Arabidopsis thaliana: one gene and its partners. The protein of the gene in region 1 interacts with the protein of each later gene in a pairwise test. Each region holds a gene or a part of one and is shown on either strand. Other genes may lie near its edges. The genes, in order: AT1G10590, WRKY60, ISPF and AT4G00980.

The links.
Region 2: the proteins of AT1G10590 (region 1) and WRKY60 interact in a two-hybrid assay, tested with the Arabidopsis thaliana proteins (one large-scale study listed by BioGRID).
Region 3: the proteins of AT1G10590 (region 1) and ISPF interact in a two-hybrid assay, tested with the Arabidopsis thaliana proteins (one large-scale study listed by BioGRID).
Region 4: the proteins of AT1G10590 (region 1) and AT4G00980 interact in a two-hybrid assay, tested with the Arabidopsis thaliana proteins (one large-scale study listed by BioGRID).

Annotation. Positions count from the first base shown.
Region 1 is NC_003070.9:3,497,798-3,504,975, reverse strand, and holds AT1G10590 (Nucleic acid-binding, OB-fold-like protein), read left to right. Parts: upstream 1-1,560; 5' UTR 1,561-1,602; exon of another isoform or gene 1,603-1,606; intron 1,607-1,926; 5' UTR 1,927-1,942; coding exon 1,943-2,213; intron 2,214-2,461; coding exon 2,462-2,652; 3' UTR 2,653-2,967; downstream 2,968-7,178. Other genes in the region: AMSH2 (associated molecule with the SH3 domain of STAM 2), read right to left, coding at 42-94, 177-239, 333-407, 488-550, 863-952, 1,059-1,211; AT1G10588 (Gibberellin-regulated family protein), read right to left, coding at 3,321-3,508, 3,616-3,700; AT1G10586 (basic helix-loop-helix (bHLH) DNA-binding superfamily protein), read left to right, coding at 5,580-5,717.
Region 2 is NC_003071.7:10,626,232-10,633,970, reverse strand, and holds WRKY60 (WRKY DNA-binding protein 60), read right to left. Parts: upstream 4,310-7,739; 5' UTR 4,160-4,309; coding exon 4,103-4,159; exon of another isoform or gene 4,009-4,102; coding exon 3,946-4,008; exon of another isoform or gene 3,742-3,945; coding exon 3,433-3,741; intron 3,350-3,432; coding exon 3,233-3,349; intron 3,146-3,232; coding exon 2,876-3,145; 3' UTR 2,558-2,875; downstream 1-2,557. Other genes in the region: AT2G25010 (Aminotransferase-like, plant mobile domain family protein), read right to left, coding at 424-675, 764-1,150, 1,225-1,374, 1,464-2,120, 2,197-2,280; AT2G24990 (Serine/threonine-protein kinase Rio1), read right to left, coding at 5,672-6,055, 6,147-6,218, 6,299-6,406, 6,488-6,580, 6,684-6,767, 6,875-6,951, 7,119-7,192, 7,428-7,541 and 1 more. UniProt on the Arabidopsis thaliana protein: Transcription factor. Interacts specifically with the W box (5'-(T)TGAC[CT]-3'), a frequently occurring elicitor-responsive cis-acting element.
Region 3 is NC_003070.9:23,736,810-23,744,584, reverse strand, and holds ISPF (isoprenoid F), read left to right. Parts: upstream 1-4,200; 5' UTR 4,201-4,248; coding exon 4,249-4,579; intron 4,580-4,668; coding exon 4,669-4,799; coding exon of another isoform or gene 4,800-4,823; exon of another isoform or gene 4,824-4,837; intron 4,838-5,428; coding exon 5,429-5,662; 3' UTR 5,663-5,912; downstream 5,913-7,775. Other genes in the region: SPO11-2 (sporulation 11-2), read left to right, coding at 38-126, 205-333, 411-505, 586-648, 724-800, 871-998, 1,128-1,262; AT1G63980 (D111/G-patch domain-containing protein), read right to left, coding at 1,531-1,596, 1,799-1,921, 2,018-2,308, 2,384-2,544, 2,632-2,728, 2,933-3,093, 3,184-3,220, 3,315-3,391 and 2 more; AT1G63960 (Copper transport protein family), read right to left, coding at 6,079-6,401, 7,167-7,278. UniProt on the Arabidopsis thaliana protein: Enzyme of the plastid non-mevalonate pathway for isoprenoid biosynthesis that converts 4-diphosphocytidyl-2C-methyl-D-erythritol 2-phosphate into 2C-methyl-D-erythritol 2,4-cyclodiphosphate and CMP. Is essential for chloroplast development.
Region 4 is NC_003075.7:420,450-428,662, reverse strand, and holds AT4G00980 (zinc knuckle (CCHC-type) family protein), read left to right. Parts: upstream 1-4,074; 5' UTR 4,075-4,082; coding exon 4,083-4,406; intron 4,407-4,523; coding exon 4,524-4,614; intron 4,615-4,728; coding exon 4,729-4,819; intron 4,820-4,970; coding exon 4,971-5,931; 3' UTR 5,932-6,185; downstream 6,186-8,213. Other genes in the region: AT4G00990 (Transcription factor jumonji (jmjC) domain-containing protein), read right to left, coding at 544-607, 690-819, 913-1,012, 1,101-1,237, 1,434-1,628; CRK41 (cysteine-rich RLK (RECEPTOR-like protein kinase) 41), read right to left, coding at 6,969-7,280, 7,400-7,550, 7,642-7,885, 7,976-8,186.

The DNA of each region.
Region 1 (7,178 bases):
GTTGACTGTATAATTGACTCCATAGCTTTGGAAGAACATACTTAGAGCTATCAGTTGGAGCTACGACGATTGCAAAAGCCTCTGGCACCATTACCTAAGAATGACATGATGGGAAACTGAGATCAGAATTGTCTCAAACCTAGTATATATGCAATTTGGAAACAGCAGAGATGTACCTGATACGAATAATGTGTATGCAGATCTACAGATGACATGAAACAACCCTGAGAAGGATGAGTCTGGAAAATATGCATAACCTCGTTATAGTAAGTCAAGACAAAGTAGATAAACAGATCACTAAACATGGAGGGAGCTAGAAGAGAGAGATATACATGAATCCATCCTACGGGATAGAGTTCTCTTTCGTTTTGAATGGAAAACACTTCCACTTCATTCATAGCCTGACACTGCCAATTTTAGCACCTGAGTAAGCACCTCATTTTGAATACCACAAAATGATCGAGATAATCTTTCTAAGATAACTCACAGAATTAGAAGTTGATTCTTGCTTAGGTATTATCAGAGTGGTTACATAAAAAATTCCTCTTTCCTACAGCATGAACAGAAATAGAAATGTAATTACCATCAGGTTCATGAAACTCGAAAAACGAAGAACCCTGGAACAGAAGCAAAACAACCATGAATCATGACCACAAAAGTCAAAACAAGGTGTAAACTTTAAACAATAGCATAGATCGAGTTTCACTAAAAATTCAAATTTGCAAAGATCTCTGTTAGAAGTTGTAATTAGGAACAATAAAGTCTGAAACTTTCTAACATTTTCCTTGATTTTCTCACCACCCAGATTCTCTTATCACCCAAAGTAATCAACTTGAATGCGAAGAAAGCAAAACAATCTTACAAGAAAGGCAGCGAGAGTCCCACAAGTCTCGAGGTCCTTCTCAGTGTTCTCTCTTGCAAGCTCAGTGAAATCCTCCAATAACCTTTCTGACTAAGAAGCACAAACACAACAACGATTAACTCAAATTAGATATCCGTAATTGAACGTACCAAATCACAGAGAACTGAGATTCAAAGAAAAATCTCAAAGTTCTTACGATATGAACATCTCTCAGTATTTTGGCTTCCGACGATTCACCGTGATTAATATTATCGGTACCGGAGATTAGAACCCGAGAAACGTGAGAAGATTTACATGTCACGTTCTCTACGCAAGAGAGCGAGGGAGATGGAGACGAGAGCGTTACCATGGAAGCAGAAACATCGGCTCCTCCTCTAATGGATGAGCATCGAAGAACGAGGAGAGGAGAGTGACAACAAAAAATCTCGCCCACCTCAGTGAACCGGTTTCTGATATCACGGTCCAGTGAAATTGGTTTTGATAACCGATTCGGAGAATAGAGGGTGTAATCAGTATTAGTCAAAGTTATAAGGTCAATCTTAAATATATAAAAAAATATAAGGGTAGTTTTAATGAAGATGTTTCAGAAACATGACACGTGTTGAGGTCACGGATCTACGGTGAGTATTAATATCTGAGTTCTAGAGTTATAAAGAAGACCGCCGCGTCTTTGTGTATATCGCCTCCACAGATCTAATCGCTAAAGTCATCGTCGTCGTCTCTTCTCTCAAAATCAAAAAGTACGTGAGTTTCCAAAAACCCTAGCTAGCTTTTTTCTTGTTTCAATTCCATCTTCCTAACGTTACTACACTTTTCTTCACGTCAATTTCATTTCTCCGATCTGAGATTCCGTGAATTTCTGGGATCAAAGTATATGATCTTTTGTGTAATTTAGCTTTCATTATCTATGTTGCTGCGTTTTATTGAATTTGTTGTGTATGGAGAATGAAATTGTTTTGTTGAATTGTTAAAACGTTTCTTATGTGAGAAATGAGGATAGCTTAAACCTGTTTGATCGCATTTGAGGTTTTGATTGTCTAATCAGATATTGAAATTGTTGTTAGGTGCTGATCACAGCAGATGTTGTTGTTTATGGCTAATTTTTGTAGGGTTGTTATAAAAATGGCTGAGGCAACGTCTGCTTTGAGGAAGCCTGTGTTCACAAAGGTTAATGAGTTGAGACCAGGAACCAATGGCCACTCTCTGAATGTGAAAGTTGTCAACACGAAGATGGTGATGCAGAGAGGAGGAGGTCGTCCCATGGGTCCTCAGTCACGTCAGATGCGGATTGCCGAATGCTTAGTTGGTGATGAGACTGGAATCATAATCTTTACTGCAAGAAATGACCAAGGTGAGAGAATAAATGCTTTTGTGATGGTCTTTTAAGAGACTGCTTCTCTTCTCAGTTAGCTTCTTTAATGGCAAGTTTCTGTTCTAAGTTGGCATCTTTATAGTCTATACTGGTTGTGAATCTGTGAAACAGATAATAGCAGGAGAGTGGATTGCTTTATGGAAATAGTTAGTTGTTTGCATAATTTGAGTATTTCTCATGTACTTTTTATAGATTTATGACTGATGCTATTATTCATTTTTATCCAGTGGATATGATGAAAGAAGGCAGTGTAGTGACTCTGCGTAATGCGAAGATCGACATGTACAAGGGTTCTATGAGGCTTGCAGTTGATAGATGGGGACGTGTTGAAGTTGCAGAGGAGCCCACAGACATCACCGTGAAGGATGATAACAATCTTTCGCTGATCGAGTATGAGCTTGTGAGCGTCGAAACTTGATATGGTTCCTCCACAAACGAAAACAGAGCGACTCAAAAAAAGACTTACGTTCTAGTTGGAGAAAGCCTCTTTGGTTTGGGTTTGAGTCTTTTTTATGTACTATCCGGCTTGCCTCTGATCTACTGTTCTTGTTTTGAAAATCAGGTTGCCGTCTTTTTGTAGATTGATTCTCTATTTAAATATCATGGGATGATCTTTCTCTTGTTTTAGTTTTTGTTCTCGTCTTTTTTCCTTGGAAACAAATTATTATAAAGACATACTACTTTGTACTTTCACATCCAATGAGTTTGTGTTATGTTACAATGTAGTATTTGGTCGATGCAAAGCGTTAGAGTCTCTGAATTACATAATTATTAAACCCTTAATCGGTTAGTCCTAATACTTACCCCTTGTAGATCTTGGATTATGAATTTAAGACAATTGAGAGAGTAAATTCTCAATTCTGCATTCCATCATAGTATCCCAAGTTATTCGTTTAGTGAAATTGAAGCTGAGAAATATAAACCTCGACATGATTTATTCTTGATGTGTTTAGGAATCGGATTGAAGATAACAAAATTTTCATTAAGCTCACAGAACTTATTTCATACATCAAACATATATAGATGTAATTTCCATACATATAGTACGTAGATAATATGTATGTGATGAGGATCTTCAAAGAATGTTCAAGGACACTTGGATCCGCCTTTGGAGTTTTTCATATCACGGTAGCAAGGACATTCATCTTTGTTTCCATAAGTCCCCGAAGGAACACAATTACACTTCTGGCAACATATATCGCAGTCCTCAAGGCACTCCTCATGTGTTCGATCTGCCTTTGAGCATCTCACACTGCACTTTCCACCGCATGCTGCTAATTCATTTATCACCATCACAAATCAAATCTTAGAATTTCAGACAACTAGTTTCAAAATGATAAATAACCTAAAAAATAACTAACTAGATTAAGTATACACTTACATGAATCAGCGCTTGAAAGTACATAAAATGAAGATGTGAGGAGAAGAGAGATTATGAAGAATTGTACAACCACGGGCATCTTCATTTCTGGTTAAATTTAAAGCTTTCTCCTTTTATGATAGAGTTAGTTTAGTAAAACCAAAAACTTCAAAGATATGCGAAAAGAAAGTAGTTGATGATGGACTACATATAGTGAGAATTTGAAGTGAAATGTTTGTTATAGGTTGTTAAATAAAATATATAGAAATAAAAGATTTCATACTTGTTATGTCGATACTATTCTCACTTAATAATATTCACATACAATTTAAAACCATATTCAAAGAATTGTATGACTAGGTACGTAGTATTGAAAGATCTTTAGCTAGTGCTACAATGTAAGAGACAGCTATTTTTTATATGGAGATCCAATCTTTCTTTATTAATAACATGTATGGACTGGAATCTCGAATATACCGTTACCATTTTATAAATAATGGCTAATTCGTGAGTGTTATTTTAGAAATAGCCAGTTTCTTAGAATAGTAGCTGATCTTGATTCAAATATTTGACAAAAATAAAGAATAAACATGTGTGCCTTGACAACAACAAGCAGCGACGACTAGGCGATATATATATATATATCTTTTATACCCAAAAACAGATAAATATACACAAGTTATTCCTTTGGACGATTTTGCAAAACAAGGAAAGAAGACAAAATGAAGGTTTTCTTCTTTTACTTCTTTGCGGCTAACATGTGTTCCATCATGTTCTAAATGCTTTGTGTTTTTTCCTTTCCAAGTTTTGAAAACGCTCTGTTCGGTCTAGGTGGCAAAATTCTGCATAACATCTAGGGATATGAAATTGACTCAAATACTACGAACCAAACCGGACTACCAATGAACCGGGTTTTAGCAAGTGTACATTTGAATATTTGGTTGGGGTCATTCGACGAAGAGATTGTTTTACCGCATCCACAGAACTGATTTAGTTCTAATCATGGTTTGGTTATGGATAAATAACGAACAACAGAAATAAATAATTATATGTAGATCAACAGTGATCTGCTTTTAGTATTCAAGAAATTAGCAAAGGCTCCAAGACTCAATTTTGCGAGGTTTAATTTTATGTTTTTGTTTTTATTCGGTGAACGATTCATGTAGAATTGGTTAGAAAGTTCAATCTAGAATTGGTCACGTGTATAATTATTATTTTTGTTATTAGAATAAGACTTGGTCAAGTGTATAATTGAACGACATCTCCGGTGAAATATGTCAGCTTTACGGCCAAAAAATAGTTCAAAGTCTTTTATATCGGTAAGGAATAATGATAGCTTGTTGAATAATCTTAGATTCTTCGTTTTTGACACCAAATTGTCTTAGCATATGTGACCTGTATAGTGTAATTCGGATAATAAATATGGACACCTATTAATTAAACATGGAATTGTTACATTATCATTTAAAGGTATCTTTAATTTTATCTAGCCTATTACAAATGATCAACATAATTATCATGGTATAACAAAAAAATTCCCTTGTTGTTTTTGTCGATCCAAACATGGTACTTATGTGAAGAATTCATCACATATAATCCGACTAATTTAATTACTATGTTCTGCTGAAATGATTTTGATAAGCACATTTTCTACAAGCTTCACTAGAACAAAACCTAGCGTAACACTATCTAGGTTCTAGAAATGTGTCCAACAAAACCTTACCAAGTAAGTAAAAAACATATTGGACATGTTTAGTATCTCTAAGAGTGGAACTTACAAAGTAAAAGAAGCATATATATGTATAAATTAAGTAGTGTGTAAGCTCATGGACGCAACCAGAAAAGCCATGACTTTCTTTGAAAAACATCATTTTCATCTAAAATTACGCGGCTCTTTCTCTCTATCTCTTTATATTTATAGAGGGAGAGATGGATTTGGAAAGAGGGAATTAAACATAGTAACCTAAAAAAGGAAAAGAAGAAGAATGGAAAGAGCGAGAGAAATAGGAGAAGGAAGCGCATCGTCATTACGGGAACAACGAAACCTCAGAGAGAAAGAACGACGAATGCGCATGAAACATCTCTTCTCCATACTCTCTTCTCATGTTTCTCCCACTCGTAGGGTCCGTCTCTCTCTCTCTACATGTATTTTATTGTTTATATATACAGAGTACATAATTTTTCGTAGATGTAATGTATGTGTTGGTTTTGTCTAAGCGCCTAGACGCTTAGGCAAGGGCTATGTTGCGAAAATCCTATGGACATCTTGATTTTAACCAGATCAATCAAAGAACTGATCAAGGGATAATCATCTTGATTTGAACCAGATCAATCAAAGTGCAGCATTTAGCTAGGGTTCTCAGTATTTAGTACAAGCCAGCTAGGACCATTATATGTAGTGTAGAGTTAAAACAAATGATTCATATCTATATATACATTTTTGCAGTCATTTTAACAAATAAATCCTGGACTTAGAACTTATTTACGACTCAATGCCACTGAATTTATTTTTTTCAATCGACATTTTAAATCAAATATTTACCTAACAAAAATATTGCCTAAAATGTCTCTATATTAAATCCACCATTACTTCAAAAAAAGTCTAACATTACTTCAAAAAAATCATTCCTAAAATCTCTCTTAAGTATTTATTAATTTTCGGTTTTAATTTGCTGCAAAAAAAAAATCGGTTTTAATAGTACAAAATATTTTAAGGTAGAATTTTCTTTCCATATTTATTTAATATTTCGTTTTTACAGCATTTAATATTTTGTTTATAAATAACAAATTAATTATTTAGCATTCAAGAAACTTTTTTCTAATCTATCCTTTAATTATATTGACATTATTGATTGATTTTTAAAATATATAGAGATTCAAATCTTCCATATATGTTTATCATCTTCTAAGGAAATTAAACAATTATTTTCTGAATCTAAACTAAAATTTAGAAAACTAAATAAATAAATAAAATCGTTTTAATTATTTTCTAAGCTAAACTATATTACACTATGATCTTTAGTTTTGAATCATTCATTTTCATTGTAATATAAAGAATCAATCTCATATTTTCCGTGTTATACAAATAATCAATCTCATATTTTCAGTTAGTAAAATGTACATGTATTAAAACGTAACAAAATCATCGTTCTCAAAACTATTTCAAATATATTACAATCTCATATATCACGCAGATTTCTTCAAAATTTGAACTAAATGTCGGTAACTATTTATAACAAAAAATGTTTGGCAAACCAAAATACAATTGCAATCCCTTAAAATGAGCAAAACGCACTTAAATACATTTTTTTATCAATTCACTAAATCTTATTTCTCCAAAATTTAAACTAGATTTCGGCAACTATTTAAAACAAAAATTGTTTGACAAACTAAAGTACAATTGTAATCCCGTAAAATATTTATTTTAATTATATATTTAAATCAACGATGTACTGTAGTTTTTTTTTACGGGACGGGTTTGGCGGGACGGGTTTGAAAGGACATTACTTAATAACAGTTGTAAACTGTAAAATAAATATATTTTATAGATAGATATAATTTACGAACTTTTATATATACTAATT
Region 2 (7,739 bases), on another chromosome or scaffold:
GGATGGATAGATTCATGAACTGAAGATGAGCTTGAGTATGTGGCTTTCCTTGTCTTGTGGGTTAGCAAATTTGTGTATCCATCACGCTTTCTTTATCTCTATGTTTCCAATTGCTATTCATCTTTCAAGTGGTACTAGGATTGCTCTTGCTCCTGATGTTCTTGCTCATTTGTATACAGAGCTAAGTCTCTTGAAAAACCATAGTATCAATGTCAGAGGAGATGAGAATGGTCATAATTTGGCTCCCTTAGGACTTGGTAAGAACGACCATCACGACAGTTCTATGCGCCGGTGGCCGTATTTCCGGTTTTGTGTTAAGCATTATCGTTTTATTAAAGTTCTGCCATTGTCACCAAATGGCCAATAATATACATATACATAAACACTGTAACATTTTAAAGATGAAACAAACAGAAAAAGGCTTCACGAGTCTTCCTTTTGAAGCAGAAGAGACGAAATATCATTACCACCACCATTATTCGGCGTCGGAGTGTGTTCATTCCGACGCCGGCGCTTCCCGTAACCACTGTTAACTGCCACCTCTTGCCATCCCCCAAACGTCAAACTATTAGCGAATGTATCTTTCACACTCTCCATCACTTCTCTCTCCGCTGGAGATAATCTCTCTAGTGCAATCCCTGAAGCAGCTTCCTCAAATTCCCTCATACAAGCAATCTACACCAAACCAAAGTAAACTTATTTTGCCGGTTTCAAATATAAGATGTTTTAAAAACAGAAATGATAGAGATTAAACTTATTTTACCATATTCATGACTTGGGACTCGAGAAACGCTTCTCGGTATAGTTTGGTGATACTGATCCTAGCATACCATTCCATGTAAGCTCCATCATCCACCACATTGCCACCTCCAGGACTGTCCACGATGTGATCCCCACGTTCAGCCCATTCCTCACACGCTAGACTCATTGACGTGTCCAAGTCATCAAGCCGACGGTTCTTTCTGTCGCGGCGTTTTACTTTCAGAGGTATCGGCTGGCGTTTCCCAAACTGCCTCAGACACCTATCTGGAAAATGTAACTCTATTTTCTCAAAGCATACAAGAGTCGTTTTCGATCTTCCTAGAATCAGCTTGGCTTTAATGTGTGGTGGAATCAAGTTCTCAAATCTTTCATATGGACACCAAGTGATCTGCATTTTCACAACCATCAATTATTAACATTTAGAGCAATACAAAATTCATAAGGATGAACTGAAGGGTTTACCTTGCTAGGATCAAGATCGTCCAGTTCTCTGCGGTACTCAGATAGGTCGGTTTTGGATCTGCTTCCTTTACCTTTCCACAAAAGAGCAAGCGGGAAACACGCTTCGGATTTCTCGGGTCTACCGATATCCAGATGAAAATAACTCCAACACTATATACATGAGACAATCATATGTTACATTTCCTAAAGATATTGAAATCTCAACTGGACAGAAAACCAAAACTAACATAGAAGCCAACCTGTAGCAAAGTCAAACAACCGCAAATGTTGCTCTGAGATTTAAGCGACGCATTACCGAGCGCTCGGTAAAGACAAGCCAACGCAGCAGCTCCCCAAGCATATCTCCCAGCTTGATCAAAATCCTCAAACAAAGGCAAATACTTAACAGAGACTTTATCACCATCAGTAGTAGCAAAAATGGTACTACCAATAAGATACAAAAGATAAGCTCGAGTATGACATTTAACAACATCGAAAGAAGCATCTTCAGGACACTCAGAGAAAGTTCTTTTAAGCCAATTAAGCTTAACCCTAGAACAATTAACTTCTTTATTAGCAGCAGATGGTAACTTCCCTAAAAGTCTACCACACATATCCATAGCAACCTCATCACCAACTTTAGAACCAACAATGGGATCTCCATCAATCTCAAGTCCAAGTACTAAAGCAACTTCGTCTAAGGTTATAGTCATTTCTCCTAAAGGAAGATGAAAAGTATTGGTTTCTCTTCTCCATCGCTCAACAAGTGCAGAGATCAGTGAATTGTTTAAACTCATTGGACCGATTTTGCGAAAGTAACCGAAACCAGCTTTGTCCACGAGGTTAATTTGTTCATCAGTGAGTTTCCATTGATGTAGCAATGAAGTGTGTTCTTGACAACGAAGTAGACCTCGTTCCTAAGGTAAGTAAGGGGAAATAAGATTAACCCTAAATTCAAAATCTGAAATTTAGCAAGGGAATTAAGAAAAAAACCTGTCCTTCCCAAACAGCAGAAGAAACATGGAGGTCTTGCTCGTATAGGACAGATGGATCAACTGGTCCGACATCAATATCCATGTCGATAACTTACTCAAAATCAGCGAAAACTAAGATTACATAAACAAATTTTTGTCAAATTCTCAAAACACGAAACTTTTGATTCTTCAATTTGGGACTAAACACAGATGAAGAAGAAGAAGAAGTTGGGATTGGAAGCTAACCGTAACCTAATTTGGACTCGGTTCATAATTTTTCTTCTTGGCTTTTTATAGCTGTACCGGTTATTTTGGTTTGGTTCTCTTAAACCGACTCTGTTTTTCGTGGTTTTACTCTGTTTCCGGGTTTCTCTGTTTCTTTTATGTCTGTAATGGCATCACATTCTTCTCTAATGGAAGTTAATACAAACAACTGAACAAGATAACATTGGAAGATACATAAACTGTCGAAGCAGCGTCAATCTACCATACTTACACCGAGCTATAACAAAACTCTTTCAACATAAGATAAAATGGGGGTGACCCTTTTTGGATACTTAGATTTGATGTAATTATATACACACACATTAAAATTGACATCTATGCCTCCTAATCAAGATCAAACAAATCTTTACCTTTTTACTAGGAATGAGCAACAAAATAGAACAAAACAGAAATATACATGTTCTAGAGAACTTTCATGTTCTTGAATGCTCTATCAATCTCCCGGAAATAGCAGTCGCAAGAGCTGCAGTGAACTTAGGATCTTTGGTCAACGAAGAAGCCATTTGTTGCACCAAAACCTCTTGAATCGTCCCTCTCTCTTTCTTTTCCTCAACTGGTTCAAGCCCACCTTGAACTAGATCAAGTTTCACTGTCCTGGACACACTTGCATGTGGTCCGGTGTGGTTATGTGTCCCTTCGTAAGTGGCTACCAAGAAAGATGGATCTTCTGCACTTCGTTGCACCTAAACAAGCGCACACACAACTAGGGAATTTAATCAGACAGCAAGATGATATCGAAGAACTCTTTAACAAAGTTTAAACCAAAGTACCTTCTTCTTGACTAGACAAGACGGTGAAAACGAGCATCTGAAGTAAGCTCTAGGAGATGGATTATCTCTCGTAATCTTTTGCCCGTATTTCCTCCATTGATATCCATCTTTCACAGTCTACAAGTAACGTATATCCACAAAACATTCGTTAACAAATCAATACACTCAAAGAACGATACTTGTAGTAGAAATCTCCTTACCAAGCTTGTGTCAGACTTCTCAGCAGCAAAGTAAGCGGTTGAAACCGTCGCTTTATCGTTGGTGATGTTCTCGATTGGTCCGAGACTGAGTCCAATTGGGGAGCTAACAAACTCATCAAGTTCTTGTTTTCGTTTCCCCGTTAGCTGTTTGTTCTGAAAGTTAACACTTTCAGGACTCTTTCGACTCTGCAACTCCTCCATAAGATTATTAAGAGCATAGTACTTCTCACAGACTCTTGCTAACATTTCGGTTAGCTTCTTGTTCTCCGAATTAACCCGGTTTATTTCATCTTGTAGCATATTTCTCTTCTGTGTAAAATGAAAATCACCATTACCAAACTAAGCTGTAAGACAAAGCTTTGATTTGTTCAACTTTTGAGCATCACCGATCTAAACAAACTATTCAATGTCTAAATCAGATATGAGAACTTGATCAACCTAATCCATTCACTCATAGTCAAAAATTTTGAGGTCAAAGTATTGCACACCAAAGTGTTCGATGAAAGAACTAACCTCATCTTTCACTAACCATTTCTTCTCTACAACTTTAGAAGCTGAAGCCGAGACTTCTCTTTTCTAAATCAGGCAATAAAATATATATGAACACCACGAATAATCACCACAACCTCGAAAATTGAAGTGAAATTTTCGAAGAAATTGAAAAACTCACCGGAAGTTTACCGGAGAAATGAAGGTCGAACGGATTGGTGTTGGGATCATAGTCCATAAATTTAGGTTCACAGGAGCCAATTTAATGTAACGTGAGATTATAGCGAAGACCAAATTCATAATTGCTAAGAGATTTGGTCTCCTTTGGTTTTATAGTAACTAGTAAGTGGAGAGAGTGTAATAACTTGTCAATTATGAGAAGGTTGACGATTTGGGTGGAAAATGAGGGTCTCCTTTCTAATTCTAAAAAAATTATTATAAATCTTTTACAATTCTTGTAAATTCTCATAAACTTTCTTTAAAACCTTTAAAAGTTTTTAAAACTCTTTGTAAAATCGTTTTAAAACTTTTATTAAATCTTTTAAAAACTTTTGTAAAATTTTTATAAAATCTTTTGTAAATCATTTTAAAAACATTTATAAAATCCTTGTGTGTAATTCTAATTGTGCCAAAATTATAATGTGTATTATGCATATGATAGTGATTGAACATAGAAACAAAAATATTGGAAAAAAACAATACTAATGAAATGTGTAAACAAAAATTGCAAGAAAACTATTTAATTTAATACGTATTGACAAAAAGCAAGTTGTGTTTAATACGTTGGATTAAATTTGTTGGCTTGCATCGTAAATACTAAATGCGTGTCCTAAAAAATTAAAAAGGTTAGGTGTTAAATCGTAGTCGAATTGTTATGTTTTGTTGTAATCGGAGAAAACAAGTGTAAAGATGGATCAAAAATCAACAATTTCGGCGGATGTCCCATGTCGAAGAAAAATGAGTACTTTACATTAAGTTGCATTGTAAGATCCAGACCAACTTTCGCTTGACTTGACCCATTGACTATGCCCTGGAGGTTGGCATGTTTAATTTTGTCTCATATTTTTGTTTACTTAATCCTACCTACATTTAGTTGCATTAGTTAATTATGTCAGCTAGGCAAAATAAGATTTCGTTTCCCTTTTTTTTATGTTCATTAAGTTTGAAAGAAAATCATTATTTTTTGTTTTGTCATCTTTTTTATTAATATTATAAAATAAAAATATATTTTCCGATCTTACAAAACCGGCAGAAAACAAAGATATCTTCGAAAACATAGTTTAAAAGAGATAATCAAAGCTCCAAAAGAAAGAGAAAACACGTATTAAGATATAAACTATGGAAACAGAGGCTTAAGAAGAAAAGCTCATAAACACTAAACTGTATAAAATCAAGAACTCATTAAACAAAGAAAAAATGTTGTAAATAAACTAGTTGCAGGATTAGAATTTTCATACTATAAGCCAACAATCTCAAAACTTGAGTTGATAAATTTAGACACAACCATTATTCGAATTGTCAAGTTGGTTAGGGATGTGAGGAAAGGAACAGAAATTTGAATCCTATTCTTGAAACAGCAGCAAACCAATTTCGGGCTCTATAATAAAGTCATACTATGAATATTACAAGAACTTGCTATTTTTGGAAATATAGAGAGCTTTGGGTCCATACTCGATTTCCCAGAATTTGACACAAAATTTCAAAATATAAATAAAAATACAAGTTGGGGTGTCAAAACTTCTAACTCGGATTAACGAGTCTTGTGTGGTTTAGAGACTTTCTTCTTTCGCTTCTTGACAGATTTGGGTGTCTTCGTCTTCCTAGACTCTCGTTTCTCCTCTTTCACTTTCTTCTTGTGCTCTTTCCTTGCAGCTTTCTTGTCTTCATGACCCAATTCTTCTTCACTCTCTTCTTCCTCACTTCCTTCTTCACTTTCTCCGTCTTCTTCTTCCTCTCCTTCCTCTTCTTTCTCTTCATCATTCACCTCTATTTTCTGCTCTTCTATTTTAGGAAGAGCATCCTTAAGCCCCGTTATCGTTTGGTATAGCATGTCTCCTGTGTCCTGCCCGCTTGTTATCTTAGCCACGTCAGCCTCAGGGTTGTTCACAGCATCCAGAGATTTCGGTATGTATGACTGAACATCAATAACAAACCAGTAAGATTAAGATTATTCTACAGACAACTTCACATATCAGTTCACACAACTGGATACACTCTTAACTAACCTTCATGAATACTGAATCCGCGATTTCATCCTCTACGGATATCTCTCCTCGCTCTATAACTTTTCGTTGGACCTGCCCATTGTTACATAATTCATTAATTTAAAGCTGCCCACTGATTCAATGGACAATCCATATAAAAAGTCATACATTACCTCTTCCAAATAGCTATCAACATTTTCGTCTGTAATTGCCGGGTCAACTATGAAGTCAAATAGCTCCCGTATTGTCATGACAGCCACACCATGTTTTTTGAAAAAATCCTGCGTGTGATTGTCAAAATATTCCACACATCAGACACCTTATACCAGTCAAATTAAGCATTGTTAAAACAGGACACTTACCGAGACATGGTCACAATCTTCCCGTAGAAAGTTGAGTGCAAGAGGATGGTCCAGATCCACAGATTGAGAAACATCAATTATGTAAAGGTGCCCCTGACAAAGTCAAGACAATATCATTATATCTGTCTTCTCTTGTTTGTTCAAGTGACCCTTGTAAAACCGAAGAGATCCCTAAAGAAAAAGAATCAAAACTCACCTCAAAATAAAGTATGTTATACTCACTGAGATCTCCATGCACCAATTTGCACTTCTGATATAATACTCGCATTTGAATTATCAACTGAAATGCAGAAAAAAGGATGTCAGTAAAGAGACCATAAAGAGATGAATCCTGACTGTAATGCCATAATACACTCAGGACCCTCTAAATGAGAAAATAAGACATACCTCTAGGTAGCACTCGCGCAACTTGTCTAGAGATAATGCAGCATCCTTGAGACGCGGTGCAGCCCAACCATCCCTCCCTGCAATTATATAAATAAAACATTCTTAGTAAATTGGATTAGGTAACTGAAAACCCTTTAATTCATCATTTCTCTGTTTCAGTCAAATATACAGATGAATTAGAGTGAATGGAGAAGAGATGCCTGGAATCAGTGATTAAAACAGCAGATAATGCATTAGAGCGAACCTATAAACTCCATGACTAGCACATGAAGGCGAAGAAGTATAACAGCTGGACACCTAATTCCAGCTGCATGAAGCCTGCCAGTGAAAAATGTATATAACCAACTAAGAAATCACCAAAATTACTGTTATATATATTTGAAAAAAGTGAATACATCTCTGGCTTCTGTTTGAAAAATAAGGTAAATCAAACTACACTAACTAGATTTCATATGGATTAGTAAGCAGAGAGGGACTTCCAAGATTTCTTATTCTAATTCACTTAAGTACAATACAATTATCCAGCACACACCCACAAAGAATTATAGGCTACCTCTTAAGATTTCTCTGTTCTTTTTCAGCCCATGTCTTCACCATCTTCCGGGGATTGTGACGACAGTAGCCATATCTAAAACGGTAATCTCCTTGTACATATCGATCTCGATCCCTGAAATCATCAAAGTTGAAAACTGGGATTAAGTTAAGAGTTTTAGAAGAACTGATAAACAACATTATTCATGTAAATAGCTTACTTAAAAACCAGAACAGATGTCTTGTACACTTTTATTGCAAGTTCCGAACCGTCAGATTTTGTGGCATGATAAACATTAGCCTGAAAAACAATAAAAGAGAGTACTTTCAACAA
Region 3 (7,775 bases), about 20 Mb from region 1:
TTTGAGCTGATTTTTTGGTCGTGCTTTGGTTTAGCAGATGTGGTAGCACTTCTACGTTGTAGTAGATACAGTCTTGGTATTATGGCTTCAAGCAGAGGCCTTGTTGCTGGAAGGTTATTTCTACAAGTGAGTTATTACTTGCTTCTAGCAATCCTTATGTAGCTAACATTGTGATCTCTGACCATTTCTTTACTTTACACTCAGGAACCAGGTAAGGAAGCTGTAGATTGTTCGGCCTGTGGTTCTTCAGGTTTTGCTATAACTGGAGACTTGAATTTGCTAGACAATACCATCATGAGAACTGATGCTCGTTATATCATTATTGTGGAAAAGGTAGCTTCTTGATGTAATCAAGCACATATGAGAGATGTCGTAATTGTCTGTAACTCACTCCTAGAATCTGTTTTTAGCATGCGATCTTTCATCGGCTCGTGGAAGATCGTGTGTTCAATCACATTCCTTGCGTGTTCATCACAGCGAAAGGGTATCCGGATATTGCCACAAGGTCAATTCTTCAACTCAGTTACAAAACCATATTGCAATGTAGTCAGTGGTATTAAGTAGCTTGGAAGTTAAATCTTTTAGGTTTTTCCTCCACCGGATGAGCACAACTTTTCCTGATCTGCCAATTCTTGTTCTAGTTGATTGGTAAGCATAAATAAACATCTTCCTCTTTGTTAACATAAAACTTTAGTGCTCATATGTTCATAAATGAGAGGTCAGGAATCCAGCTGGGTTAGCTATACTATGCACCTTCAAGTTTGGAAGCATAGGGATGGGACTTGAAGCATACAGATACGGTAAAGACTTAGCTGTTTGCACCAAATAATCTCCAAGTCTCTACAATGATAATTTCTGCATCCTCTTTAGCTTGCAATGTGAAGTGGATTGGTCTCCGAGGAGATGATCTGAATCTGATACCAGAAGAGTCTTTGGTTCCCTTAAAGCCAAAAGATTCACAGATTGCTAAGAGCTTATTGTCCTCCAAAATATTGCAGGTAACCAACTATACATTATACATTATAAGCAGAGATCAGATGTAATGGTCAAGCCGAAGCAATTCTAAGATTCGAATCTATAATCTATCATTTATACCCTAATTGATTTTGACATTTGCTTCTGACCAGGAAAACTACATAGAGGAGTTGTCACTGATGGTTCAAACTGGTAAAAGAGCGGAAATTGAAGCTCTCTATTGTCATGGTTATAATTATCTCGGTAAATATATAGCTACCAAGATCGTGCAAGGCAAATACATATAACACTTAAAACACCAACATGTAAGGTCTTCCACCAATAAAGATGCGTTTGCTTTATATTGGTTCCAAATATAAGAGAGTAACTTATTAGGGTGAAGTTTTATGCAAACTCTAATAGAATGTAAAAATAGATTACAATCAAATCAAAATTTTCCAAACTGAAGTATGATCTTTGTTTACATATGGCATTGTGATGATTTAGTAACAAAACTTGTCCTAATCTCCACTTTCCTATGCAGGTATAATGATAATTCCAACCAAAAATTCTCGCTCACTTCTTGCTTGATACAAGACTAATCTTCTTTCCCTCCACAACAAACTTGCCACTTCGCTCCAGCTGCAACAAGGACGTTAGAACAATATCAGTAAGAATGACAAACTTTGGAACTTTGTGTAGAATATGAGAATCCCACTTTAAAATGATTATGTTTACTAACTTCACTATCACACTTCTTTAATCTCAAATATAATGAATTTCATACGCTTAATGTAGATTCTATACGAAGATTTGGCATAAAGATTAGCTAAGATTGCATTACCTTAAGTTTCAAGTAAGCAATAGCATCTTTTCTTGAAGAAAACTCTGAAAGAACTGATGGTGCTTGTTCATCGATCAGAGATTTTAGCTGTTTCAGCTTCATGAATCCACCTTTACCAGCATCCTAAGAATGTTTTTGCACATATACATATAAGTCGATATGAGTGGTGGGATGTTTTAGAAGAATACAATGACAGTTCAAAATAAATTGACAACGAACCTTTTTAACAATCTGCTTGCACAGGTTCTTTAACTTGATTTTGGGTTCAATGATTTCATCGTGCTTCCTTTTCGCGGGAAGAGAACTTTCAATTACAGAGTCCTTGTCATCATCATCTGCTTCACTCTCGTCTTCATCTTCCTCTTCGTCTTCTTCGTCATCATCATCATCATCATCATCATCATCATCACTGTTATCAAAAGAGGTTTTCTTCCCTTCGTAACGAACACCAGCTATTTTCTTTGGCCGGTCTTTGATACCCAGTCCTTGTTTTCCCGCTGTGGCTTTATCCTACAGACATTCCAAAACGTCAATATATTATTAGATCCCAACCTCTTTTCCAAGAACAGCCTGCAAAGAACATACCTGAACCATGTTGTAAAGATTCTCTTGATCATTCTCACTAAACATTTTTCTCTCGCTAGCTTTTAATTTCTTTTTGCCCGACTTGGCCCCCAGAAGACCACCCGAGACAAACCCGGATTTAAATCCCCACCAGTTCGAAGAAGGTTCTTCAATTTTCTGTTCTGTTCAGTCCAAAAGATCCATACATTTTCAGTTCAAAAAAAAGAGCAGAAAGTCACAATTTCAAGATGCAAGGACAAACTAATCACCTTTAATACTAGCATCTTGGTCCTCAGATATAATTTCAATATCCATAGAATCGGCTATGTCACAAACTGCAGGAGAAGGATCCTCAGTTCGCTTAACCTACAAAACAGTAAAATAACGTGCCTAAGTCGGACTATCACTTTCATAATGAGATTTGTTTACATAATGGTGATAGCAGAGAAAATTCTAACAACATGCACAAGTTCACAGTACATGTAGAAGTTATGATCCATTCTAATCAACATGAATCTTGATCATGAGCGGATAAAAGACAGGACAGAACTGTTTTGAAAGGAAGCTTACCAGTATTCCTTCAAGATCTTTAGACGAGTATGAATTGACAAGCTTCCCTTTCTCTCTACGTTTATACCTTCCTTGTGGACGAGTGACTTTAGCAACGGTCTTCAACTTGGCAGGCTCAGATTTGACAGCATCATCTTCACTTTCATCTTCCTTATCTGAATCTATCGTATGCCACATAAAACAACAATCATTAGGATAAATAAGCTTCTCTAAGTCAAGAAAGAACTCAACTTAATAAGAAAAACTTATACCATCATCATTCTTGCTAGTCTTGGTAGGAGCAGCTTGCTGCAAATAACACACACACATACACAAAAAGATTGAAATTATTTCAAATATTTCAAAGAGCATAGTTAAAACGAAAGATGAACACAGCCATTACCACTTTCAATTTCTTGAGAATGTTATCGAACTGAGTTGTATCAAATGCCCATGGATTTGGCTTATCAAGACCAACACCTGCTCCAACATTTTAAAAAAATTCAGACCTATAACATAAACGATAGATGCATATACACCACACAAATATACAAAAGGCTTAAAGTAGCTCTATCTTGATTCCACAACTTCACATTCACCAAATTACATAAACTAAACTATGTAAACAGACATTTCCTCCTAAAAACCGAAAATAATGTTGTTGTTTTTTAGTGTAAGTGAAAAGTAGCTCTATTAAAGTTTCCTCCAATCTAAATTCCACCGAGAAAAATTCAAATCACTAGTTTCCATTAAGGAGAAGAAGAAGAAGAAACTAACCAGATGTATCTTGTTTGTTCGTAACTCTCACATAACCTTTGATACCTTGCTTATCTTTACCAAGTCCTTCTCCTTCTTCCCAACCCTAAAAAAATCACCAATCCAAAAAATTAGGTCTTCTCCTTTATAAAATCTCTACACACATTAACATCATTACAGGAAAATTCACTCACCATCGATTTCATAAGCTTGAAAGCGGCGGAATCCTTACATATTCCGACGTACTTAACCGGAGCTTCCGGCGCCGCCATCTTCTCTTCTAATTTTCCGGCGATTGAATGGAGACAATGCGTCGCCGTTTTTCAAAAGCGGTGCGGAAGAGAAGAGTGGGCGAGGAAGTTTAGAGAAACTGGAACAGAAAACCTAAAGCGAAGAAGTGATGAGTAAAACTCCTCTACACGTGGTCTTTAGTAAACTTCAGTGGATATGTAACATGATCGACGGTCGAGAGTTTATCATATTTTAAATGGGCTTTAGGAAGGAAAGGCCCAATAAAGAAATGAATATTTCCACCACAGAATTATGAATTGAGTAAACCAGAAAATCGAAGAAGAACGGCAATGGCTACTTCTTCTACTCAGCTTCTACTGTCTTCTTCTTCTTTGTTTCACTCTCAAATTACCAAAAAGCCATTCCTTCTCCCGGCGACGAAGATCGGCGTTTGGAGACCGAAGAAGTCTCTCTCGTTATCATGTCGTCCTTCAGCCTCGGTTTCAGCTGCTTCTTCCGCCGTCGACGTCAATGAATCTGTGACTTCAGAGAAACCAACCAAAACGCTTCCGTTTCGAATCGGTCATGGTTTCGATCTACATCGTTTAGAGCCAGGGTATCCTCTGATCATCGGTGGGATTGTTATTCCTCATGATAGAGGCTGCGAAGCTCACTCCGATGGTAAACATTTCTTGAAATTCGATTTGGTTAATTCGTCTTCTTGTAGATTTTAGGGTTTTGATTTGAGTTTGATGTTGGAATTTGTGTAGGCGATGTGTTACTTCATTGTGTAGTGGATGCAATTTTGGGAGCACTAGGCCTTCCAGATATAGGTCAGATTTTCCCTGACTCTGATCCTAAATGGAAAGGAGCTGCTTCTTCTGTATTCATCAAAGAAGCTGTAAGATTTCGACGCTTACCTTGATGTTCAATTTTGTGTGTATGTTCCAGTATTAGCTACTTCTTCTTTAAGCCTTATTTTGTGTGTGGTACTTTATAGAATGGTTCAGAATTCAAGCTAGATCCATAAGTTGATGGGATTTACTCAGCTTAATAATACTCTTGAGTAAATTATTTTCATCTATAGGAAGTCGAAGAAATATGGAAATCAGATCTTATCCCTGAACTGTTGTCATCACTCAACGATGCTATCTATAAGCTTATCACTCTTGTATACATGATTTTTGTCTTGAAAAGCCTTGGCATAACTCAATTTTCTGTTGAATTTTAGGTTCCTGCATCTTTGTATTGTTAGATTTCAACACATATGATTGATGATAAGTAGAGGTACTCAAGGTTGAAGCTATAAAGTTTCTTTCTTGTCCTGTCTTTTAAGTTATGGGTTCACATTTGGCGTAATGTGTTTGTTAAGTTCACCATGATTGACTGTGAATGTTGATTGCGTGGAAGCTAATCTGAATCACTTGTAATGATGTTATATAGATATAACAGAAGAAATGTTAGATTCTCGTCGGTATGAAGAATGATTCAATAAACTTGAGACGAGGTTTATTTGACTTTGTGTTTCAGGTGAGACTCATGGACGAGGCAGGGTATGAGATAGGAAACCTAGACGCGACGTTGATTCTCCAGAGACCAAAAATTAGTCCACACAAAGAGACAATCCGATCCAATCTGTCCAAGCTTCTTGGAGCAGATCCTTCTGTAGTGAACTTGAAAGCCAAAACACATGAGAAAGTTGATAGCCTCGGAGAAAACAGAAGCATAGCAGCTCACACTGTTATTCTCCTCATGAAGAAATAGAAGTCAAAATTGATTTTAGCTCTTTATCATATTCCTTAAAGTGTCTCATCTTTTAAGAAAAACATACTTTTGATTGTAAAGTGTAATCATCCTTTAAAGGTTAATTAATCGAATCGTTTCGTAGAAGCAGAGAAAATCGAATCATATTTTGTTGATGATTCATTGTGATTCCTAGTTCCTTGGTCAGATTTGAATATAATTGGAAACTGTGTCTTGGACTGCAAGTTCCTTGTGACACAATTTTTTATTTGTCTGTCATATAGTTGTTGCTTTCCTTGTCTACATGAATTCTTAAATCAAAATCAGAGAATAATAATATCATACTGAAATAAATACATCAATGATCAGAGAATAATCCTTACCCGTCAATATAAAATCAACTTCTGACTAATCAGAGACTTAACATACTGCAAATCTTAAGAGATTATACAGCCGTGATCATGATCGCACACAATAGTAGTGTGATGATGCATTGGACAAACCGGAGTGTCATGGTGAGACTGAGACCGGTAAAGAGCTTCTTCACGTTCACGTTCACGTTCACGTTCATTTTCTTCTTTCTTCTTCTTTTCCGCAGCTGCAGCGGTTTCCGCTTCCTTCTTCGGATCGAACGGGCCAAATGTAGCCATTTTCGCACTCTCCCATCTCTTTTTGAGTTTTTTGAGAATCTGCATTTCGTCAAACTCACCAATCACCGTTAACTTCCCTTCTTTTGAATCCATGGTAATAGTTGTAATTCCTGGAATAAAAAGTGTTAAGATTTAGGTCTTGAGACTAAGGAAGATCTTTTCAAGGTGGTAGGTTCTTTTGAGATTTCAATTCATAATCCATAAAGAAAACCAAAAACAGAACGTATTATTATTATTCAAAGCTTTGCAGCAAAAGCTCATTAACAAGAAGAAACTTAAACTTAAACTCACACTCAAACTCAATAATGAGTGATTAAAAGATTTGGTTTTTCACTAAATAATCATGAACGAGACAAGAAAAATCAAAATCATTATTTAAGGGATCATATCATAACCCATGAAGAATCACATAAATAGAGTCTGTGTGTGTAATCGAAAAATCTTTGCCTTTTCAATTTAAAACGCATGAACAGAACAAAAAAAAGTTTTGAGGGTTTCAAATCAAAACTCATCAAAAATCTCAAGAACAGGGGAATGTGAGTAACGAAAAGCTTTGCTTTTTCATTAAAAACTCATGAATATTACTACATAAATCAATTTCAAGTTTTGAGGTTTTTAATTCAAACCCTTAAATGATCCAAAAAGCAGAGTGAATGTTAAAAGCAAAAGCTTTTGGCTTTTCACTAAAAGAACAGAAGAATTAGATCCATCGTTGGAGATAGTCTTAACAGCAATCATTTTTGTAGGGTTTCAATTCAAAACGACAGAACCTACAACGAATCTCAAAACCAGAGAGTTTGTGTAATGAAAAGCTTTGGCTTTTCAATAAAATCACATGAGCAATAAAAAGAAGAAAAAAATTGGTGCATGTTCACCTGAACAGCTAGCTACTGTTTGGATGACTTTCTCCTTAGACCTCTCGTCGCAAACATTTATCATCACCACCATTTTCTGTAGAGAAAGTGTGATTAGAAGAAGAACAACCATTAATCAAAATACTCCAAAGTCTATAAAAATTCAAAAGACTCATTTTTCAGTACTTTGAAAACCAAATGACACATTACCTTCATTTTCTTTGTAGAACAGAGAAGAAGATGTGGTCCACAGTAAAAAGTTGGTGTGCTTTTTTTATTCGTGTAAGCAAGTCGATGATGCTTTATGTCCCAAATAACAAACCGCCACATTAAATGGATTCAGAGAAGAAAAAAAACATAATGTTGGAATATCATAGTGTTTTGTGATTTAAATTTTTTTTAGAAAAATGTTTTCTTCAGTAAAAAACAAGAGTGTGGATTTCACTTGTGAGAAATGGCTTATGGATGTTTTCAACTGTACTTGTTATTTTCTCCTGTGGTTCTTTGGAAATTTCTTCTCTTTAATGGTCCCATGATGAGTGTCCGTCGATTATTGATCGTTACTATATCCAGTAATTTCCATTTCAAAAGTTTTTATATTGTCAAAGATTCTTCCAAGGTCCCTTTTTA
Region 4 (8,213 bases), on another chromosome or scaffold:
TTTTGGATATAAAGAGAACTAATGAACAGTAGACCCCATATACCAAATCCCAAAGATAACCAAAAGTAGCCCAACAAGGTATAGAACCCTTGTCTTCCTTGGGCATATGACACTCATAATGATGAAAACAACTCTCTGCCCATTGCTTAACATGATATGAAGCTTATTTTCGTTCAAATGAAAATACATGAAAAAGGAATAACGTTAAAAGACAGTTATGAAAATAACAATGACAATGTCCTTTAAATCAAATGACAATACAATAAAAATGAAGATACTTAATAAGATCATAATCTCTTCAGTCATCTACCCATCAAACCACCCTGATTACTCCCCCCAAATCATTCCTTTTATATTCCATTCATTTAACAATTAGTTTGCTACCAAATCTCCTCACGAAACTGGTGACAATCGGTACATTTTAATTTGCTCTCTGCCTATTTGCAAAGGATACAAAAAACAGTATGAAAATTCAATAACATTGGTTTTCCCCCAAGATAAAAGATCAGCCAAAAAGATGCTCCCAGAGATTTGGAATCTTACCAGTATATGCGTTCGCTTGGGTCAAGTTTGCACCTCTTGATATTAGCTTCTGTCACAGGGTGTCCTAGAATAAAAAAGGTTCGTGAGTGGAGAATAGAAAGAGGAAGAAATAAGAGGATAGCACAAGTGAAGACAAAGAGCCTTACCTCTAATTGTTGATTCAATCTCTAGTTCACGGTTCTGCTCCGTATAAATATCCTTAAGAACTGGGAGAACTTTGACTAACAGATACTGCAGCTGCTTAAGCTTGACATCTGTATCTTTTTCACTTGGAGGCTGAGATTCACAAAAAAAAAAAAAAAATCATATTGAAGGAGACATTTCATCTCAGTAGATCCACAAGAAATAAGTGATCTCAAGCCCACTTACCTTGATAACCAAAGGCAACCGCAAACAAGCTCTGCAAATGCAAGTCATCATACAGAATGGACAAGCAGCTCTAACTTCCTCATGTGTTCTTTCTGAATACCTATCAAGATTCAAAATAGTTAAAACTCTCCTGGAAACCGCAAATCATAAACTAGTATAACGTAATACTGAACAGTGCAGATACATACGATCTCTTGATGCAGTCAAAGCAATAACACTTCTTGTTACACTTTGAACAGAAGATAAGATCACTCTCACTCGTCAAGATCTTACAATGATGACACGTCGAACCCAAACACTTTCTGCTTCCGTCAGGCTTAATATCCTGGGAGAATTAGGGTTCCAAAAACATATTCTCATCACATCCGAACAAATAAAATTCACCAAATCGAAATAAACAACATTCACACAAATTTTGCAGCTAAATAATTGCATGAGAAAGCAAATTTTAACAACTCCACAGAATCATGAAAGAGATTCATCTATCTATTTGAATGAAGCAATTATAGAAAGGAATTAACCTTCTCGGGATTAGAAATGTCTATTTCAATAGATCGCTTCGAAACCTCTCCTCTTCCTCTTCCTCTTCCGATTCTTCCTTTGCTCACAACATCATTCTCTTTCTTCCTCGTCTTACGCTCGCTTTCAGATCTCCCATCTTCGACTAACTCGCCGGAATCTCTTGGTCTGATTCGCTTCCCTCTCATTTTCTCCATACTCGGAGACAAAGAAGAGACCACCAATTTTTACCAGTATACAAAAGGAAAATGAAGAGACCTCTGGAGTTTCTTCGAACGTCGTTAATTCATCGATTTATCGCCGTCGCAGCTTTGGGACTATCAAAGTAGTTAAAGGAGAGTGACGTGGCCACAGTCCAGAGGGTAGTATGGGCTTTAAAGTCTACTTCGTGAATCGTAAGTAATTATTAATTAGGGAACAAGACGTTTCATTACTTTTTACTATTCTACCGTTTCAACTTCTGTTTTCTTTCCAAATTTAACTATTTTTTAAACAACCGGTTAAAATAGATTTTCTTTAATTAACCAAGTGGTTCTCTCTGGTATCTTTGAGAGAGAGGAAAACTCTGTTTAATATTTTCTCCGATTGAAATCGGATTTCATTTAAGTTTTTTTTCTTTTCTTTTGTTTCCGGTATCTTGCCGGTTTTAATTTCCGAATTGTTCGGAGTTTCTTTCGGTTTTCTTTGCCGGTTTTTTATAAGGCCTTTTGCAGGTTGTAAATCAACACTTTCAATTTTAGAAGATGTTTAATTCTTGGAGGTTTTTAGATGGAAATGTGTTCATTGGATGCTTGATTACTCTTCCATGTGAAGGAAAATTCCTCGCTATGCTAATAAAAGCGTAAGGGCATCGGTTCTTCATGGATGATAGATCAAGGTGTTGTGGTTGATTGGAGAAGAGTATGACGAGTTGGGGTTCACGTCATGTTTTAATGGTCCTCCAAGGAATATTCTAATCCTAATCAGCTGAAGTTTAAATTTCCGGTGACCAAACTAACTCCAATAGACTATTTCCGGTGATCCTTGGCAAAAGGCATTCGGTACAACTAAATGTGGGTAGAAAGTTTCATGGAGGAGCTGAATCATTTGCTGACCGGCGGAAGATTTCTCCGGCGAAGCAGTGACGGGGCATGTGCTGAAACGTTGATCTACGCTGCAATCTCCACATTGCATACATGTGTCATCATATTGTCTATTTAATGTTTGCAATTAGTGGGCTTTTGGCCTCAAGTTGTACCTGTTTATGAAGCCCATTTGGGCTAATTAATAGAAAAATGTTTGCCGTTAAAAAAAAAAAAAAAAAAGTGGTTCGATGGTCGTAAATAACTTTTATGGGTTTTGGTCTTGGGTTAGAGAATTCAAATTCATGGGCCAACCCAATTTTCATTTTAAGTGCTTCTTCTATGATGACATTTCACGAAAATAATACAATGGATTGTCGAGGAAAGAAGTGATGTTTTCTGTAAATTGTTAGGCATTAGTTATTGGAGAAGCGAAATGTGAAATGCACATTGTTTGTTGGCTATTAACTTGCTTTTAAAGGTGACTTGAACATATTTGGTGTCTTATGTTGATTCCGAAGCTATGAGTACTTTTGATCAATCTAGTTTATGAAGTTACTTTTAGCATCGCCTTCTCGATTTTGTTACTGCCATCACATGTCAAGTTGGTTTTGATGTTTTGTAAGCATTGATAAGCTTTAACGAACAAACTTTTTTTTGTTATCATTACTGCGTATTGGAGTTTTGCATTACATCTTTTGCTTCTCTTATGGCTGAGCAGGGCCGGCCCTGGGCTAAAGTTGGTGAAACTCATGCTTTACGCGCCTAAAATTATAGATAATATTAAAGGGCATCAAATTTTAAAAATGTTTCGTAGTCTAGTGATTGTTTCATAGATTAGTGACTCTTTCGTGGACAGTTCGAACCTTACCTTCGTTTTTTTGAGACTTTAATTATAAATAGATTTAAAATGCTTAAGAATTTTAAATGAGCTTAAAGATGTTTTAGGCATCAAAATCTGTTGGGTTAGCCCTCTGGCTGAGTCTGAGCTCGCAGCATGCAATACTAATTTCTTAAGCTGCAATGCAGTGAGAAGACAAGTAAAACAAGATTAACATTAGCCCAAACTAGATTATTCACAACAAATGTTAATGACTATTACCTTGCTATCTTTATATTTAGCCTCTTTTGTTTGAGCTTAATTTTCAAAAATAATTTGCTTTCTGTCGGTTTAGTTTCTAGAAGGATTCGACTCTTAGTATCTTATCGGCTTCGTGAAGAAAAACTGTATTTCACCCATATATTTCTCAATCGTATTCGTATCTCACCCATGTATTCATATATCGTATTATAAAACAGAAAAGATATATAGATAAGGAAAAAAAACTCATATATATATATTTGCATATATAAAGTATTAAATGCAACAGCTATAGCAAAAAGGTTCTATGGTCTAGCGGTTAGGACATTGGACTCTGAATCCAGTAACCCGAGTTCAATTCTCGGTAGAACCTCTTTTTTTCACACTCCGGCCAAATTTTTTCCCCCGGCGATTTATGAACCCTAAATATAACGCCGGCCAACAACCAAAACTCGACGCTACTGCGAAATCTTTTTCTTTATCCTTTTTTTTCTTCTTTTTCGGGCGAAATGGAGAATTCGTTGCTTGATTCTGGTGAAACTATGGAGATTGTCGCTACACAAAAAATCGAGGAAACAGTGAAGAGCATACTCAGTGAATCTGATATGGACCAAATGACGGAGTTCAAACTCCGACTTGACGCTTCGGCTAAACTCGGTATCGACTTATCGGGAACCAATCACAAGAAGCTAGTCAGAGATGTTCTTGAGGTCTTTTTGCTATCGACTCCCGGTGAAGCACTCGTACCGGAGACGGTGGCTCCGGCGAAAAATGAGACAGTTTCTGTTGCTGCCGCTTCCGTTGGTGGTGAAGATGAGCGCTTTATTTGTAAGGTTGCGACTTTGCCTATTTGTTCTATGTTTGATTCACTGTATAGAGTAGAGATTGTGATCATCTCGATTTTGAGTTTTTCAGTGGTCACTGTAGAAATTGTTGGTCTTTAACTGTAGTTATCGGAGAAGCAAAATGCGACGGTTCAAAGATACAGAGGCCAACCTTTTCTATCGATTGGTTCTCAGGAACATGGAAAGGCTTTTAGAGGTAATTTGAAACACAACTTGGTGTCTTGGTCTTGACTATGAAGCTATAAGTAGCCATTTTTGTTTTAGATATGCTCCTGTTGATTTCAATTGTTAGATGTTTCTTCTCTGTCAGGAGCACATTTGTCAACTAACCAATGGTCTGTAATCAAGAAGAATTTTGCAGCGATAGAGGACGGTATTAAGCAGTGCCAATCAAAACTAAAGTAAGAATGTGTACCTTATTTTAAGTCTATAAAGATTCATGTTCCCTGGCATTGCTTTTAGTGTTTTATGGTCATATAATCATCGTGGCATAGGGCATTACTGTCTGGCTAGCAATGTAGGCTGCTTATCTTGCTATTAAACGTTATGCAGATCTGAAGCAGCACGAAATGGAGATACTTCTGAGGCTGTGGATAAGGACAGCTCTCACGGTTTTTCTGTTATCAAGATTTCACGATTTGATGGAAAGAGTTATCTTTACTGGGCTTCACAGATGGAACTCTTTCTGAAGCAATTGAAGCTGACTTATGTACTCTCTGAACCTTGTCCCAGTATTGGTAGCTCTCAAGGCCCTGAAACCAACCCCAGGGAAATAACTCGAGCTGATGCTACGGGGAAAAAATGGTTGAGAGATGATTACCTGTGCTATACTCACTTGATGAACTCCTTGTCAGATCATCTATACCGTCGATACTCTCAGAAATTTAAGCATGCCAAAGAATTGTGGGACGAGTTAAAATGGGTCTACCAGTGTGATGAATCCAAATCGAAGAGGTCACAAGTCAGAAAGTACATTGAATTCAGAATGGTGGAAGAGAGACCGATACTCGAGCAAGTCCAAGTCTTTAACAAGATTGCGGATTCCATAGTGAGTGCTGGTATGTTTCTTGATGAGGCATTTCATGTGAGTACCATCATCTCCAAGTTTCCCCCGTCTTGGAGAGGCTTCTGCACCAGGTTAATGGAAGAGGAGTATTTACCAGTCTGGATGTTGATGGAACGAGTAAAAGCTGAGGAAGAGCTTCTCAGAAATGGAGCAAAAGGGGTTACATATAGACCAGCCACAGGCTCCTCTCAGATGGAAAGGACACCGAGTCTAGGAACAACACATAGAGGATCTCAGAGCGTAGGTTGGAAGAGGAAAGAACCTGAGAGAGACGAGAGAGTCATCATCGTCTGTGACAACTGTGGGAGGAAAGGACATCTCGCAAAGCATTGCTGGGGTAGTAAATCTGATGAGAGAGCTTCCGGAAAATCAAACCGGATCAACTCCTCAGTCGCTGCACCTGTGGAATCAGAGACTCAAGCAACAACAAACAATGATAGGGGGTAGTAGTTGATGATTGCTGAAGCCAAAATGTTTATATCTCTTCACAGATATACTTAAAGAGGTAAGTCTTTTGAATACCGTTGATTCAGGATTCAGAAGCAGTCCTTTTATGACCTTTTTTCAGCTTGTCCATATGTCTGGCCTATTAGATTTATGACACTGAAATGTATAAAAGAAGAACAGAGAGATGACCAATAGATCAGTTTTGGCCTGATTTAATGTAAAAGTATACTTTTATGAATGATAATTTTTTTGTCAAAATTGCTTTTTAAATCCTATTTTGAGGAACCAAAATAAAAACAGAAACCTCAAAACTGATATACAAACAAATAAACTGACATCAATTGAGGTGACAATACTTAACACACAACCAAAAATTAAGAGTTTCTTTGTCCCAAGCGTTATGGAAGATATTCTCAGCCTCTAAAATTAAACTTGAACGTCGAAATTTTAAAAAGGACCAGATGGAGAGTAATATAAAATTAGCGGGTGAAAAATAGAAGAAATTAAAAGTTTCAGGGTGAAAAGGAAAAAAAATGAAACCTGTCAGACCGCCGTGCGACCACCCCGGCAAGGGAGAACCGAGCCGAGTAACCATCCTCTACAGCACCGGATGCATCCAAGGACAATCGTAGCCGTCAATCACGCTCAAGCCGCACGGTCACGGTTCATCAACAAGGGTTTAGGGCCTGTCTCTTGAGAAATTTTCTCAAGAAAACAGATGTACGAGCCTATAGTTCAAGTAAGGTCGTGACCATTGATGCTTTGTATCCATATATAAAGAAAACGTTTCTCCACTAGCTTATCGATGTGGGACGCAAAATTCCTAAGAAAAAGCAATCATAAGCTAATGGGCCTACACGAGGAAAAAAACACTAATGGGCCTACATTGTTAACAAAGCCCATATATGTTCAAGCCCAATAATTAGAGATTATGGTTTCATTAGGACAAAGAATTTTAAGTTCAAACGTCATTTGACATTTTGAAGTGTAACTTTAAAGCAAACAGAAATCTTCATTTTTGTCTTTTACACACAAATTTAACGAGCATCGAACTCGGTAATTGTAACATCATTCAAAGATGCAATATGATTTATCTGATTTTTGTCTCTTGACAATGATTCTCCATCTCCCGAGTAAAATGCGGGTTGCGAGGGTCTCGGTAAAGTGAAAGAATTTGCATTGAGCATTACAACAACAGAAGCCATTGTTGGTCTACTCTCTGCATTCTCCTGAACACACAACAAACCAATGTGAATGCATTTCATGATTTCATCACTGACACCTATTGTTTCAACCAAACTTGGATCCACAATGTTTAACACTTCCCCTTCTCTCCAGCTCTTCCATACCTATACGTATAAAAGACAATATATGACTTGAAATCAAGACAATATATGAGTCCTCAATTACAACCCCAAACTCAAAGTCTAGAGTCAAAAAAAACAAAGCAAGAGTTTTATTCACTTACATAGCTAAGGAGGAATAATGAGCTGTCTTCTTCTGGAGACCAATTGTTTTTCTTACCTTTAATAATCTCAAGGACTAGTACACCGAAGCTAAATACATCGGTTTTTACCGAGAATTCGCCACTCATTGCATACTCTGGAGCCATGTAACCGCTGCCAAACGAGCAAATAATGTTTTGGCTTTCATTTTAGTTTTACAGAATTGATAATAACTTAAAGGGTAGTTTTTAAAATGGTAGCTTACTAGGTTCCTGCAACTTTGCTTGTAAACCTGGTCTGACTTGTTTGGTCAGTATCAAACAACTTTGCCATTCCAAAATCCGCGATTTTCGGATTCATTGCATCGTCCAATAGAACATTGCTGGCTTTCATATCTCTATGAACAATCTTGAAACGAGAATCTTCATGGAGATAGAGAAGACCTCTAGCAACACCTGAGATAATCCTATAACGTGTTTCCCAATCTAAGATCATTCTCCTATTAGAATCTGCGAAAGAAAACAACTAATTTGGATCAATCATTAAATAAGTTACTATAAATAGAGAGATACATTTGTTTGGGGTTTAGTTTAAGGTACCAAATATGTAATGGTCTAGGCTTGTGTTCTTGAAGAACTCATAGATGAGAATTCGTTCTTCTCCTTGTAAGCAGAAACCTAAGAGCCTAACAAGGTTACGATGTTGGAGTTTTGCAACCAATGAGACTTCGTTTATGAACTCATTGTCTCCTTGTCCTGATTTCATTGACAATCTTTTCACAGCTATCTCTTCCCCATAATCAAGAACACCCTGGTGATTATTTAAACACATGTCAAA